Sus scrofa: one gene and its partners. The protein of the gene in region 2 interacts with the protein of the main gene of each other region in a pairwise test. Links are inferred from orthologs where the notes say so. Each region holds a gene or a part of one and is shown on either strand. Other genes may lie near its edges.

What was found.
Region 1: the proteins of NDN (region 2) and EEF1AKMT1 interact in a two-hybrid assay, tested with the Homo sapiens proteins (2 studies listed by BioGRID and IntAct). The link is inferred for Sus scrofa from reciprocal best matches to the Homo sapiens genes NDN and EEF1AKMT1.
Region 3: the proteins of NDN (region 2) and SERTAD3 interact in a two-hybrid assay, tested with the Homo sapiens proteins (2 studies listed by BioGRID and IntAct). The link is inferred for Sus scrofa from reciprocal best matches to the Homo sapiens genes NDN and SERTAD3.
Region 4: the proteins of NDN (region 2) and MIER2 interact in a two-hybrid assay, tested with the Homo sapiens proteins (2 studies listed by BioGRID and IntAct). The link is inferred for Sus scrofa from reciprocal best matches to the Homo sapiens genes NDN and MIER2.

What each region holds. Positions count from the first base shown.
Region 1 is NC_010453.5:1,092,319-1,096,587, forward strand, and holds the start of EEF1AKMT1 (protein-lysine N-methyltransferase N6AMT2), read right to left. Parts: upstream 2,801-4,269; 5' UTR 2,602-2,800; intron 1-2,601. UniProt on the Homo sapiens protein: Protein N-lysine methyltransferase that selectively catalyzes the trimethylation of EEF1A at 'Lys-79'.
Region 2 is NC_010443.5:142,411,446-142,414,165, reverse strand, and holds NDN (necdin), read right to left. Parts: upstream 1,479-2,720; coding exon 501-1,478; downstream 1-500. UniProt on the Homo sapiens protein: Growth suppressor that facilitates the entry of the cell into cell cycle arrest.
Region 3 is NC_010448.4:48,709,951-48,714,206, forward strand, and holds the start of SERTAD3 (SERTA domain-containing protein 3), read right to left. Parts: upstream 2,801-4,256; 5' UTR 2,647-2,800; intron 360-2,646; 5' UTR 354-359; coding exon 1-353.
Region 4 is NC_010444.4:77,911,799-77,915,930, reverse strand, and holds the start of MIER2 (mesoderm induction early response protein 2), read right to left. Parts: upstream 2,801-4,132; 5' UTR 2,335-2,800; coding exon 2,302-2,334; intron 1-2,301. UniProt on the Homo sapiens protein: Transcriptional repressor.

The sequences.
Region 1 (4,269 bases), on a different chromosome or scaffold from region 2:
AGGACGAAGGTTCAATCCCTGGCCTGGCTCCGTGGGTTACGGATCCAGCGTTGCCGTGAGCTGTGGTGTAGGTCACAGATGTGGCTTGGATCCTGTGCTGCTGTGGCTGTGGTGCAGGCCGGCAGCTACAGCTCTGACTCAACCCCTAACCTGAGAACCTCCATGTGCCATGGAAAAAAAAATGAGTATAAGTTTACTAGTCAGCATGTTTTCAGATTTGAGGAAATACAGTTATCACTGTATCAACCCTAGACTGCAACACAGATGTAGCAGATCCATCATTTACAGCTTCCAAAGAAAGTGGTCAGAAAGGCGAGGCAGTTCTAAAGGCTGCAACGTCAACGTGGAAGCCATGAGCACGGACGTGTACAGGTTACTAGATGGTTCCGGGAAGACTCCCTCTGGACCTAGGTCATTTTACCGGCACCGCGTGTCTAACGGGACTCTCCTGGATCACTAGAGTCTATCCAGAGCCAAGGGAAAGAGTTTAGATGTGGTTAATTTCAGTCAATTTGGGCATTTAACGGGGCAGTGGCTCCTCATTCCTGTGACAGGAAGCTGTGCACGAGCTCCTGCGTGGAGCTCAGGGATCAACTTTACAGCTGAGTGAGGACGTGGAGAGGCCAGTGTTCCTGAAACAAGAGCAGAACGCTAGTCACAGTTCTCACGGGAAGGAGAGGCGCCGTGCGCCTTGAAAGGCCGCATGAAGCTTGGTCCGTGCAGGGACAAAGCAACAAAGAGACAACCAGGCCAAGGCCTTCACTGCTGAGACGGGGCAGCAAGAGAAAACACACCTTCTGTGATGTGTGGCTGGGGGTGTGTGACAGGACTTCCATGTGCCCGTGAGGACTGACTGGCAGGGAACACATGAGCAACTCTGGCCATCAGCTGGCCCTGTAGTTTGTGGATGCCAATGGGCAAAAATCCAAGAACACAGTTTCAGCAGCTCCAGGAGCAGCTTGTCTGCAACCGCTGGGAGCACGGTGGGCAACAGGGACCCTGTCCTTCAGGTAACGGGGCCTGTGACCTGGTGGCTGACAGCTACTTCTGCGCACGGAGACACCGTCAGGCAGGGGGACGTCACTATAAGGCTCCCACCACCAAGCACTTCCCTCCAGCAGAGACACCTCGGACAGGATTTAAGGCGTTAGCCCCTCCTCCCCACTTTCCTTTTTCTCTTTTCTCCCTTTTGGGGCCAGAAACATGAGGACCAGACCATCCTAAATAGCAATGGAATACACGGAGGAAATTAAGAAAGTCGCTGTGCATGTCTAGGAAGAACTTAGGCTTCTTCAGGCTAATCTTTAGCACAAAAACAGCCTGCAGTGATAGTAATAATAGAACAACAAAACACCAATTCCTGGAGAAGGGGTAGAATTAGTTCACAACCACCACCACCACCACAACTGTGCAAGGGCACAGACACATCCCTGAAACAGATCAAATGGCAGACTCACTAGACAAAGACTTTAAAATAACTTCCTAACGATGCTAACAGAACCAAAGGATGTAGGGAGAGTTAAGACAATGACGAGTGAACACAATGGAATAAAGAGGGGTACACCTTCAGGGGGGCCAGCACACTCATGGTGGGAGTCCCCCGAGAAGGGAGAACAGGACGGAGTATCAGTGCGAGTGCACGCGGGCTGAGCCACGGCAGTCATCGCACAGCAAGCTGATGGGCCGAGTTCTAAGGCTTCGTTTCGGCCTGGGGTATCAGCATTGAGAACTGGGCACTGCTAAAAGCTAAATGAACCTTAGTTTTAACCTGCTACCCCTTTTTTACTTAGGCCCACCCTTTATCATATCCTTAGCATGATGTCAGTATTTTCTAAGCGGCTTGTTGAAAGTGCTGTGACGTTTTAAGTCCAAAGAGCTGGAAGTGCTGTATTTACATTTTAAACTGATGCTGAGCCTCATGTGGCTCCCACTCTAGATCAGCGCTTCTCTGGGGAGGGTGGTGCTGGCATCTAACGGGTAGAGGCCAGGGATGCTGGTAAATCGTACAGTTTGGAGTACCACCCTGCACAACAGAGAGCTACCCGGCCCCAAATGTCACTGACGCTAGGATGCCAGGGGAGAGACCCTGCTTTAGAGAGAAGGGCAGGCGAATGACCGTGGACAGGCTGGAGGACACCGTTTATGCCTTGAGAGCACCTGGGGAGCACGTGGGGGCAGGTGAGAGCAGCTCAGCTGCCGGCGTTTCACCTCCGCCCCGAGGGTGGGCGAAGGATGCAGACTGGGGCCTGCGGAGCGAACTGCACGAGCGGGGGCGACGCCTTAAGGGGAAGCATCCGAGGGATTCACGGGCCCCTGCGGGGCTGTGCTGCTTCGCACGACTTGAAACTACTTAAATGGTGGGACCCACGACGCAAAAGGCAACGTGCAGGTCCACCCGCGTCTCGAACACACAAAGTTCTGTTTCCACAGGTCAAGTTTCAGGCACGACCCTCCCTCCCCGTGGACAAAACCCAGCGCTGCCCCCGAGGCCGTCCAGGCCCAGGCGCGGCGAGCCGGCGGGGAGCCCCCGGGGCCCAGCGGGTACCCGCGCCGGCGCCCGGCCCCGGCCGGCGCGCTCCTCTCGCCTCTAAAACCACTGACCTGTTCCTTCAGAAGCTCTGACGTGAGGGGAAACCACGCCCTGTGAAGCGAGGCCCCGCGCACGAGCCCGCGACGAGACGCCCCGCGCGCCGCGCCGGGACCCGGGGAGGCAGAGGCGGCGCCTCGGCCCCTCACAACCCGCGTCCGCGCGTGCGCCGTAGTCCCGCGGGGCCGGGCCCGAGCGCCGACGGCGCCCGCGCGTGCGCACTCCGTCTCGCCGAGCCGGAACCGCGGGCGGGGCCGCGGCCGCGCATGCGCACGCCCTCCGGCGGGTGCGGGGGAGGCCGCTGGGAGCCGCGCCGCAGACCGGCCGCCTGGTGCTGGGAGCTGCTCGGCTCCGCAGGTGCTTCTGGTGGTGGCAATAAAAGATAGTTAAGGTTTTAATTAGAGTCCCGGTAAGTTAAACACATACAAAGGAAATCTGCTAATTTGTTCTCTCAGTCTACCGAGAAATTCATATATTAAACTGAGTATTTATAATAGCGATAGATTAGGGAAAGCCTTTTAAACCCTGCAATTTCCTCCTCGGTGTGACTAAGACCAGCCACCTGCACCTGTCATGTTGGAATTTGCTGTGAAGAATGCAACAGCCGCCCAAGCAGAGGATTCGCACAGCTGTCTCCATGCTGAAATAAGACAGCTACTAATTCGGCAAATAATCTAATTATGAAGTAATAACGTTCTCTATGTAAACAACTGAAAACGTAGGAGAGTTTGGTCAGCCCCATGGTATATAGTCTTTCAGAGCCTTCAGTGAGGAGTGCGTTCATCCCTAGAGCACCCAGCAGACCCGGGCACACCGGCACCTAGGGAAAGTCAAGTCCCCTTCCACCTTGGCGGTTACAAATCCTGATGCTCTATTTACTTACCATTCCCCGAGGCTATCAATCTGTATTCCTTTCCTACCTTCCTTTCCTTTATTTTCTTTACCAATTCCATAATCTTACTAAGCTAGGGTCTGCTGAATAGCTTCAAATCCTTTCTGGTATAAGGTGAGGATAGGAAAAAAAAAACCCACAAAAACCGTGTTTTCAACTTTGGGAATACTATAGTTTCTATTTTAAATACTGTTTTCAGGCTTATAGCAACCCACGCTTTAATTGCTTTGAACTCATGACACATTCACTAAGCCAGGCATTTCAAGAACAGGTGTAACTTAACAAAGGAGCAGGAAAGAAAACACACAAGAGAAATCAATAACACGACCCAAGAAACAACTAACCAAGTTCACGGCAGTGTGGCTTTAGAGGTAATGTTCCAACCCAGCAAACTGCCTTGGTTTACTTGATAGAAAGGATTAAGTTAAAGCAAAGTTATTTTAAGTTTGAGATTAAGTTAAAGTTATTTTTGGTTTAAAACAGATGTTTTTAAGCTAAGTTTAAACTGCTTTCATAGCCTGTGAGACAGTTAATCTGCATATAATGTGTTACTGTGTTATTTTACAATGAAAATGAACCTAGTTGTCAGAGAGTTCAAATAGTTACACCTCCACCAATAATGCTGCCTGCTCAGACAGGTTGTCACAGTGATACAGGAAGATTAAAATGTTCCTCATGAAAACATCTGCATTGTAATTTAATGGCTCTTCAAATCATAAAAAAATTTTAAATATTGAGACAATTTTATTATCATGAAGGGAAAATTACTTGTCAAGTTAAACTGGACTCG
Region 2 (2,720 bases):
TGTCCATACTGAGCCCCTTTAAGTCCACATCACCACACTCCAGACAGATGTTTCCTGTGCCCAGCAAGATCACAGAGAGAGAGGTCTTGACTTTTCTCTTGGTTAGACCAGCTTTACTGGTGAGTTCGTCCAAACTCTCTAGTACCTGTCTACCCCCATACACATCATCAGTCCCATGTAAAAGAATAAGATGGAAAATGTCTCAATGTATTTCATAAGTTTAGCACGTCTCTGGTACAAAAAATTCAAGAAAGGTAGCACAAAAGCGAAAGCACCAACTGAGCTTACTTATAAACAAACATGCATGAATCCTACACACTACCTAATTATTACTGAAATGAATACAACATTGCATTAAAAGGTATAAAAGCACTGTACTGAAAACGTAAAAGTTACACGTGAAATACTGCACTGTAAATCCTGAATACTCTAATGTCCCACCCCCACCCCTCCACCACCCTGGTGAGGGTCAGAAACCATCAATCTGCCTCCAGACCTTGCTAGTCCTCGGAGACACTGTTGCGGGGGCAGTGGGCAGTGGGGTTGGCCTCCCGCAGGGCTCTGGCCTCTTCCAGAGCTTCCCTGTAGCGGGAAGGCCAGGCCTGGGGGTCTTTCTTAAAGACCCTGGCCAGGAACTCCATGATTTGCATCTTGGTGATTTCACGGCTGGCACGGGAGCCCCAGAAGAACTCATACTCAGGGGGCTCGACGTGGGGGACGCGCTGGTACTTCAGGTAGTTCTGCTGTACGAACTCCTCAGTGATAAGCTTTCTCACATCTCCAAAGGTGGAGTGCTTCTTCCAGGGCCTCAGCCCCAGGATGCGCAGCACGTTCCACACAGCACTCTCACGGGCACCGCGACCCTTTACGTAGATGAGGCTCAGGATCATCAGCAGGAGGCCTGTCATAGGCATGCGGTTGCTCAGAGCAACCCTGTCCAGCTCCTCAGGCGCCAGAGCTTTGACCAGCGAGAACTCCATGGTGTGCAGGCTGGTCAGCCTCAGGTGCAGCCCGAACACTCGGGCGAGGATGAGGCTGGTGCGCCTCAGGATGCTTCTGCACCACTTCTTGTAACTGCCGATGACATCTTTCACCATGTCTGGGAACCAGATGATCATCCTTTTCTGGTCCTTGACCAGCACGTACCACATGAGCTCATGTGCCTTCTGCACCAGCTGGGCCGGGGCCGGCGGCGCTGGGCTGGGCTGGGCTGTGCTCCGGGCCTGGTGGGCGCGGCCTTCCTCCGCGGCCTGCTGTAGAGCCTTTGGGTCTCCCTCTTCGCTCAGGGCCTGGGGCGGCGGCGAGGCCAGAGGGGCGTCGGGTGGGCCTACAGGAGGGATCTCTGGCCCTGCGAGGGTCGCGGCCTGGGACGCAGGCGGAGAGGGCCCCCCGGCCACCCCAGGGCTGCTGTGCACCTCGGAGTGGGAGGCATCGGCTGCAAAGTTGGGGTCACACACGTCCTTACTTTGTTCGGACATGTTTGCTCCGTCTGGCAAGGGCTCGGCCGCTGCGTCCAGGAGCTCTTCGACTCTGCGCTCCCTCGGTGGACTCCTGGAGAGGAAGTGCGCGTTGCTGCGCGCGGCGCCTTCCGCAGCGGCCGGGCGGGGCGGGGCGGCGGCGGGACAGGCTAGTGCGCCTGCGCATCCGTGGTCTGTGGGGGCCCTGCCGGCTGGCGGTAGGGGCGGGGCGCCTGGAGGGCTGGGGTGTATTGAGGTCCCAAAGGGGTAGGGGGCCTAGTGGAATACTGGCCTCATGACCCACAGTCGTCCAGTTTGGGCTAAGGAGGCGGTCCTGGGGCCGGGGGGAGGAGCGACATGGGTGAGCACTGGACAAGGAGCAAGTTTAAGAGGAAAGATGGAAACTTAAGCTTCCAAGATGCTGAAGCTGAATTTCTTAGGAAATGTTCAATTGGGTATATGTAGAATCAAGTTAGATGTGAGTTTCAGAGAAAGGCCCAGGTTGGCACATAAGCTTGGGTTTTGGATAACAAGTGTGAGAATTTAAACTGACAGAACAATCAGGGTCACCCAAGAAAATGTGTCAACTCTGAAAAAGATGCGGGATATCAGAATCATGAAAGATAGCAATAAAAATTGATTGATTCACTGCGAGTTCCCATTGTGATACAGCGGAAAGGAATCTGACTAGTATCCATGAGGATGCAGGTTCAATCCTGCCCTTGCTCAGTAGGTTAAGGATCTGATGTTGACATGAACTATGGTGTAGGTTGCAGACAGGGCTTGGATCCAGTGTTGCTGTGGCTGTAGTGTCAGCTGGCAGCCGTAGCTCCAATTCTACCCGTAGCCTGCTATGGGGAAAAAAAAAAAAAAAAAAAAAAAAAAAAAAAGATTTCCTGACTGCCAAGTCCAGGGGGTTATGAAGGAAAAATGCAGAATGTAGTCAATACATGTACAACTGAAACTTTCTTGAAGACAATGTACTAATGATACTGTTAGGTGCTTGAATGGTCATTGATTTTGGTTTTTCTACTTCCCTTGGGTAATTTTGATGTAATTTTAATTTTTTGATTAGGATCTCATCACACAAAGATTGCTGTATTTATTAGCACAGACTAGTATGATGTCTTTCTACTTGTTTGTCCAGGAAGGACCCTAATTCCCCTTATGACTGATGTAGCCTTCACGGGTGTGTTCGTGTAGACCCCACCTCTGCGCTTTCACACAAACTGACTGGTTCCAGAAATTGACAGCCACACCCAA
Region 3 (4,256 bases), on a different chromosome or scaffold from region 2:
GCCACTGGATTGGGAGGGGGCTCAGTCTCATCCATGGAGGTCTCCAGCTCCCTGAGAATAGAGCCGATGGTGGTCGACAGGGAGAAGTCCTCCTCGCCCAGGAAGAGGGGCTCGGGGGGCAGGGCAGGTGCAGGCGTCAGGCAAAGCGCTGCTTGGAGTTGTTGGAGGGTGTTGTGGATGAGGACATGCCTTCGAAGGCTGGGTGCTCGGGGGCCCAGGCTTCGCTGGACTTTGTCTAGGGAGATGCGGAGCAGGGCTTGCTGGTAGCTCCGAAGGCCTGTGGGACTCCAGTCCCACTTCTCATCCTCTTCTTCCTCCTCCAAATCTGAGTGTTTCCTCTTCAAGCCTACCATGATGCCCTGTGGTAAGAAGAGGGGCAAGTGAGACACAGCAGGGTTAGTTCAAATCCTGAATCTCCTGTATGGCTGTTGATTTTTAATGGCCCAAATAAATCTCACAAGGCTAAGGAAGAGAGTATATGTATGTGATTAACAAAACAAGATCTGGACGCAAGACACAGCTGGGTTTGAATCCCACTTACTGGCCCATGTGGCCTCCAGTAGTGAATTTACTTCCTTGAGACTCAATTTCCTCATCTACAAGGAATCTTAATTCAAGTTCTGGAGTCTTAAGGCTGTTCTTTCACAATACTCTTATTTTCAAACACGACACACACAAGACAGATACTGAGTACAGACACCTGGCCTGCAAGTAGAGATTCCTAGGGTTGACTTCTGCCTTTCACACTGCTCAGCTGTGAGATCTTGGGAAGTGATACTACACGCACAATGAACAAGAGTTCATTGCCAGTTATTTATTGAAAAAAAATTTCTTTTTAGGCCGGCACCCTGTGGCATATAGAAGTTCCCAGGCTATAGGTCAAAATCGGAGCTTCAGCTGCTGGCCTACACCACAGCCACGCCAGATCCTAGCCACATCTGTGACCTACACCGCAGCTCACGGAAACGCCTGATCGTTAACCCACTGAGCAAAGCCAGGGATTGAACACCAGTCTCATGGATACTAGCTGGGTTCCTTACCGTCCAGTCACAACGGGAATTCCTCATTCAATATTTTTATTTGAGGAGTTCCCGACGAATCCGACTAGGAATCATGAGATTGCAGGTTCGATCCCTGGCCTTGCTCATTGGGTTAGGGATCCAGCATTGCCTTGAGCTGTGGTGTAGGTCGCAGACAAGGCTTGGATCTGGCGTGGCTGTGGCGAAGGCCGGCGGCTATAGCTCGGATTAGACCTCTAGCCTGGGAACCTCCACATGCCGCGGGTGCGGTCCTAGAAAAGACAAAAATATATATATTTCTTTAATTTGAAAACAAAATGAAACAAAAAATAAAATACAGGTCCACAATCACTTAAAAAATTTTTTTTTTGAATGTCTACTATATTCTAGCCACCTGGAACCCTGATAGGGAACCTATCTGTGGAGACTCTTCTTTTACAGAGAACAAATATTTTTCCTGACTGGGAGCTCTCGCAACAACAGTGAAAATACCTCCCTCACTCCCTCTGTGGTTGCCTTCAGGTTTCTCCAGCATGAGTCCGGTAGGAAAACTCGCCAGAACATTACTCACGCCAAGCCCCGCCCCCGACCAGCCCATCCAACCAGGCCCCCGCTCTCTACAGGCCCCGCCCCCTCGACGAAGTTCGAGTTCGGAACCCAGACACGCCCCAACTTGGTCCTTGGGGCTTATGGGAAATGTGGGCCAATAGCCTCCAGGTACACGTACTGACGTTGAACGCGCACTACAACCCCCGGAGGGCTCAGCAAGCCGCAGGGACGCACCTTCCCCGCCTTCCCTTAGGGCATGCGCAAAGCGGCCCGTGGTGGGTGGGGGAAGGGAACCCGGACGTCCAGCTGCCCGGCGCCCGCCGAGCCCCGCCCTCCGCTGCCTTCAGGGCTGCGGGTCTGAGCTCCACGCCCGAAACACCCCTCCCCCACCCGACTCCGATTCTAAACTGCTTTCTACCGGTCCTGCGGACCGTAGAAAGTCCCAAATTCTTCCATCAAACTACTCTCGGGTCCAGAGACCCAGGCCCCAACACATCGCTCAAAGACTTACAAATGCTCTCCGATGCGCTCTGTTCGGGCCGCTAGGTATCTGAATTTTGAGACCCTCCCCGTCAACTTTCCCCTATTCTCCGGTCTTTCAAATGCTTCTCAACCTCATCTCCGACTCCCCCTCCGGCTCCAAGACCTGACTGGGAACTCTCCTCTCCCCAGGACCCCTCTCCACCACTGCGTCTAGGAGATCGAGTCCTTGCCCCTATTTCTTTCGCTTCTCCAAATGCTCGGGATCACAGCGCAACGCCTCAAACTTTTTCCTGAACAGTAGTGCCCGACTTTAACTCGTCCCGGAGACCTGAATTATCCCAATCTTCAGATTTCCTGCCCCCAAAAGTTCCTTCCCTAGTTCTCTCGCTTCCCAAACACCCCGTGTCCCAGCTTCAGACTCCCTCCACTTGAAGACCCTGTCCCCAAAACTTCGCCTTCCTTTCAGGATCTCGAAACTCAGTCTCTCCAAACCTGCGCCCCCTACTCCCACCCATACCCCGCCTCCACAACTCTCCGGAGCGCCTCCACTTCCCTCAACCCAAGGCGGATCCCAAGCCAGGCAGCCACACCTCACCTCAACTGCCAGGTTCGCAACAACTACCTCCGGGAACGCCCGCGGCTTTGCGACCCTCCTTTGCGAGTGCTGGGTAGGGGCCGCGCTCACCACCCCGGGGCCTCTCGGTCTGGCCTCAGGCCCACCCAGCTCCGCCCGGAGCCGAGCCGCGAACCATGATTGGCTGGAGTCCTGCCCACCGCAGGGCGCGGATTGGCTAGGCGGAGCTACCGCCTGTCGCCTGGAGACGCCGGACCCGCCTTCCCCTCCTTCGCTCCGCGGACCTTTTAAAGGATTCTGACTTGCCGGGAGGCAGGGCCACCTCTCTAGGGTGGATGTTGCACCAAAACTGTTTCTTTCAACTCGGCTACTGTCCTCGCTCCAAGACCGTCTTCATTGCTCTCTGCGACCCCTTTATACCAAGCCTGGACCCAGTCGCGGAGGAAGATTGACAGGCACGCCCGGCCCCACCCCGCTTACCGGGAGGACCCCGCTGCGCCTCTCACGAAGGCCGCGCCCCTAGCTTTGGAGGGCGGACCCTGCGGAGGAGGAGGATGACGCACCGAAGGCCAGCCAATAGTTTGGTGCGGCCTGTGTTGCCTGGGAGATCTTAGCCCTTCCTCCCTCAGGATGGCACCCCTGCTGCGGGAAACTCGCTCTTGGCTCCCCACTGTCGTGGGGACAAAGTCCAAACTACTTTTTTTTTTTTTTTTTTTTTTTGCCTTAAAGCCCTTCAGGTCTGGCTTGATGCACTCTCCCTTGCTCTCTACAATCCTGCCGCACCGACTGACTCACTCTTTCTAAAATGGCTCCACCGCCGTGAACAGAGATTCGGTTTTCTTCCCTGCCTTATCTTCAGTGCCTACAACAATGCCAGGTTCGTATCAAGTTCTCGAAAATGAGGGGGGAAAAAAAAAGACCTCTGGCACAACATTGTAAGTCAAAATCAAGGATACTTTTAAAAAGACCTCTGGATCTTGAAACTTTTTCCCATCCTGAAAATACGCCCTCAATTCCCAGGCTGCCTCTTGAGTCAGAACTCTTCTCAAAGTTTTCCTCTCAGTTCTGAGGCTCCAGGGATGGTCCAGACCCATTCTGGCCTCCCACAGGGTCCTGTGCTTCCCTCATCGCGACCCTGACTCCTTTGCCTGAGTCTCCCCGACCTTGGCCCTGGCCGTCACTGGATTGTGGGCCTCCTGGGGACACGTACCAATGTTATCTCACTGCTTGGTCCCCAGCATCACCTAGCACAGGGCCGGACACAAGGCAGGCGCCCAGTGAAAGAAAGTTTGTTAAATGCAGACACTGTAACAGAAGAAATAAAGCGGGAGGAAATGAGTGCGGCCGGTGCCCAGAAAGCCTGAACCAGCCCTGCCCCACCCCCACAACACGTTCCCGCCCACGGGAGGAGAGAGTTTTCTCCAGGCCGCTCCGGAGAAGGAAGGTTTAAGGCTCTTTGGACCAGTCCTCGCCGGTTGGAATTTGTCAGTCATGTAGTCCAGCTGTGTGGAGAAGAGTATAGGATGGGAATGGATTTGGGGTTGGGGGAGAGCTTTGGGGGTTAGGTAAGCGAGGAGTGGTTTGCTCAGTCCTGGGAAAGGTGTCTCTGGGGGACAAAGGTGGGGGAGAGT
Region 4 (4,132 bases), on a different chromosome or scaffold from region 2:
GTAGCTTCCCATTCAGCCCTCCCTCCAGCTCCATCCACAGCCTCACGTGACAGCCATTCCTCCAAGGTGGTGGCTCCCAGGCAGCCCAGACTCCCGTTGCAGGCCCCCTCTCTGTGCACTGGTTGGGCCAGGGACTTTGGTGGGAGGGATTCCAGGCACCCTCCAGTGCAGTTTCCACTGGCCGCCAAGCTGTGAGGAAGCACAAGCTGCAGGGGAGGCCGTGCCAGCAGCCAGCGTCTTAGCCACACCTGGGTGAGGAAGCTTCCCTGCACTGGAGATGGCTCAGCCGAGCAACCAAATGCACTGTGGGGACCCTGAATGAAAACTGCCTGGCTGAGCCCCGTCAACTTGCAGAACAACCAGAGGTAACTAAAAATGATGGCTGCTTCCAGAAACTGAGTTTCAAAGTGATTCATCCATCAGGCAGCAGTATTAACCAGGATACCCTCCACCCTTACCCAGCAGAGGTACGTGGTCCCACTGGACCACCCAGCACTCCATCCCCCATCTGACAGCCCACCCATCACCCACTCTGGCCAGGAGGCACAGCAGTCAATGGACAAACAGGTTCTGCCTGTCCACACATGAGCCGTCAGTCTAGTTGGACATGTACAGTACTGAGGGGAGAAAAATGGGTGGAGCCTGCACAACTGGGGGTCAAGGAGGACCTGCGTTGCCGTCTCCAGGCAGAGGCCTGAAGGGCTGTGGAACAGTACCGTGCATCAGGTCCCTCCAAGGGTGCAGACTGCACAAGGAAACAAAAGGCGCCTGGGGCGGGGGCGGGGGGGGGTACAAGAGGCAATCCTAGGGGACCACATCACTGGGCCAAGGGTCAAGGAGAGGACAAACTTGACACAAAGGACAACAAAAAGCTGTGTCTTTTAAGTACAAGACAGAGATGGTGTACTCAGGTTTTTCTTTTTTTCCTCTTTTCCTTTTCTTTATACAGCTGTAGCTGTGGCATATGGAAGGTCCTAGGCTAGGGGTCAAATTGGAGCTGCAGCTGCCAGCCTACAACAGAGGCATAGCAACTCAGAATCCGAGCCACATCTGCGACCTACATCGCAGCTACGGCAACACCGGATCCTTAATCCACCGAGCAGGGCCAGGGATTGAACCCGCATCCTCACGGATACTATGTCAGGTTCTTGACCTACTAAGCCACAATAGGAACTCCAAGTTTTTCAAAGCTCTTCAAAGATTAAGGCAGGACCCACAAGTAAAACAGTACAAAGCACCCCACCTTCTCTCACAGTGCTGATAGCTGCTTTGCCAACAACAAAAATCTGGCAGCTAATATTGATCAGCATGCACTGCTAGGTTACAAATCACCATTTTTATGGGTTCAAGACAGCTGGTTCTCAGTGACTGCATAAGGTTCAGATTCTCTGTGCAAGCACTAAGCCAAGATCTCATGAGATCTCCCCATTCAGAGAGTGACCGGCCCAAGGTCACACAGAGCAAGAGGCTCTGGAGCCACAACAGGTCTCCTGGGCAGAGCCTGGCCATGCCCACGACTGGCATTTGCACACCTCTTATCCTTTACTGACCAGCTTCCCTCTGACCATGTCTCCTCACAGCCAGACCCTCAGGGCCTGCCACAGAGCCAGACATACAGGCTTTCTTTCAGAAACCAATTCACTCAACAGGCACCACACCAAACTGGACACCAGCTGCCATGAGGGTTCCAGGGGCTGAACGCTGGGCAGGGCAGAATCAGCAGCCAAACCCAGCAGCTCTCAGGGCAGGCTGGTTGGGGAGGCTGCCCCACCCACCTGTGACACGCAGCCACCTGCCAGGCCAAGATTGCAGGCCCCTGGGCCAGACCCACACAGACCACCATACCCCTGCTGGGCCAGTGGGAGGCCCTACATGAGCTTCCCTCCCACAAGTCCAGCCCCTATCTGGGAAACTCGAGTTTCCTAAATGCCCCCTATGGAAGCAGAACTATTCTGGAAAGACCCCTTGGACCCAGCATAAGGCAGAAACTGGCTAGGAAGGCCCGGCCCTCCACTAAGATGCCCACACCCTCTCTGGCGCAAAGGCTGGGCCTGTTACTGCCCCTGAGAAAGTCACTGGTGGGAAAGAATGGCCAGTTCCGCCCTCCACAGCCATCTACCCACGATGTGCCAAGATGTAAACACCCAACTTAGCCCCACAACCAGGCCTAGCAACCGAAAATGCTCCTCACCAGGCGGTGCCTGCTCCTCCCCGGGCCTGGGCAGCCTCCCCATTGGGTGAGGATCACTTGCTGGGGCCAGGGACCTGCTCCGCATCCCCAGACAGAACGCTCAGACTCACAGTGACTGAGTCCATAGCAGGTGCATCATTCATCTTCACTAGGGCCTCATAAGATGACAGCAGGTTCCCACCTTCTTATCCAACATGCAAAAAAGCCCTCAAAGTGAAAGTTTTTCATCCCTGGCTTGACGCGACATGCAGCAATTTGCTATCTTAACCCCTATAATCCTAGGTGAGTTTGATGAAGCATAATAGTCCCAAACACCACGAGTCCTCAAATCCGAAAAACTCAATTCCAAAATCTATCTGGCCCCAAGGACAGGGGGCAAGGGGTCTTGGGCCTGCTCTCCGAACAGAGAGGAAGCTTGGAAAAGTGAGTAACTTCAAGGCGTAGGTAAAGGAAGCCCTTCGCTGCCCGCGAGCCAGCCCCAGGTAGGACCTCGAGTCCTGCCAGGGGTCCGGAGGGAGCGCAACTCCACGGCTCAGCGCCCTGGGAGTCTGTGGGCTGGGGTCCCGAAGGCGGGGTCCGGGTAGAGAGAGCGCTCCGCGAAGTTGGCACACACCGGGCGGGAGCCGGGGGTGGCGAGCTGGGGGCGGGAACCCGCGGGCGAGCGCCCCACCCCGCCCCCTCCCCACCCCGCGCCCCCGCCCTGCACATGCGCATTGCCGCCCACGATGTGGCAGCCTCGAGGGGGGGCCGAGGCCGGGGGTGGCAGGCGACGGAACCCCGTGCCCCTCGGGCCCCGACGGGAGCAGCGCCGCGGCCCGGCCCCAAGCCCTGGGCCGGGGTCCTTGGCGCCCGGGGCCCCGACGCGGCCGGGTCGGGCGGCGGGGACACGGGCTGGGGCGGGGGCCGGCTCCCCGGCCCGCTCACTCACCTCCGCCATGGCCGTGTGTGCGCGGGAGGCGGCGGCCGCGCCGGGATCCCCGGATGCGGGGCCGCGCGCTCATTGGCTGTGGAGCCAGGCGGGCGGGGGCGCCGGGGCGGGGCCGGGGGCGGGGCGCGGGCGGGCGCGTAGTAGGTGCGCAGACGGGGACGCGCGGGCGGGCGTGGGATGCGCGTGGTCCCGCTGGACTTGGCCCGGGAGGTGGGTACGCCGCCGATGAAAGTAACGATTCCCGATAAGCACACTTTGTCAGGCTAGAACTCTGGTCTCATGTCCTTCTTCTAATCCTCTGGCCAACTCCCAGTTGTGCTCCCGTGTTACAGATGGGGACATCGAGGCCAGAGTGTCGGGCCACCCGGGTACGATGGTGGAGTAGGGACTGAAGTCTGGGGAGCAAGGTTCTGGAACTTTCCGCACTTTTGCCCCATCCGTCGTCGCTGGGGAGCCGGGGGCCCGCGCGGAAGATGGTCAGGGATTCTGATGGCCAGACGGGCCACTGACTCTGGACCTGCCGTTGTCTTGGGTGGAAATTAATTGGTTAGACATTATGAGTCTGCGCCAGGACGGAGGATTCTCCGCGTCTTACATCTCAGACTGAGACGAGTGGGGGCATCAGGGCAGAAGGTGTAGACAGAGCGAGCGGGAGAAGATGCAGTGAGGAGGCTGGAGCAGGGATTAGGGTGATGGCTGGAGCGGAAGAGGGGTGGGCACAGAGGACAACCCTGCTGGAGTGAAGGTGGGGAGAGCAGGAGGCACCCAGGTTCTGGCTTGCACAAACCGGGCAGAATGGAATCGGGGACCCGGGGACTCTGGAGCCCCATTCCTTTCCAACCTGTCGTTGGTATCAGCATCACCTTGAGGAGGTGAGATGCGGAGAGCTCCACGCTTGGTGGGAAAGCATCCAACTCTCGAAGAATCTACTAGACAAGGGAGAACCCCCCTACCCCCCTTAGAAGGGCTTGAGTCAACTTGGGGCTACCAGAGAAGATCCCTTGGAGGGAGCT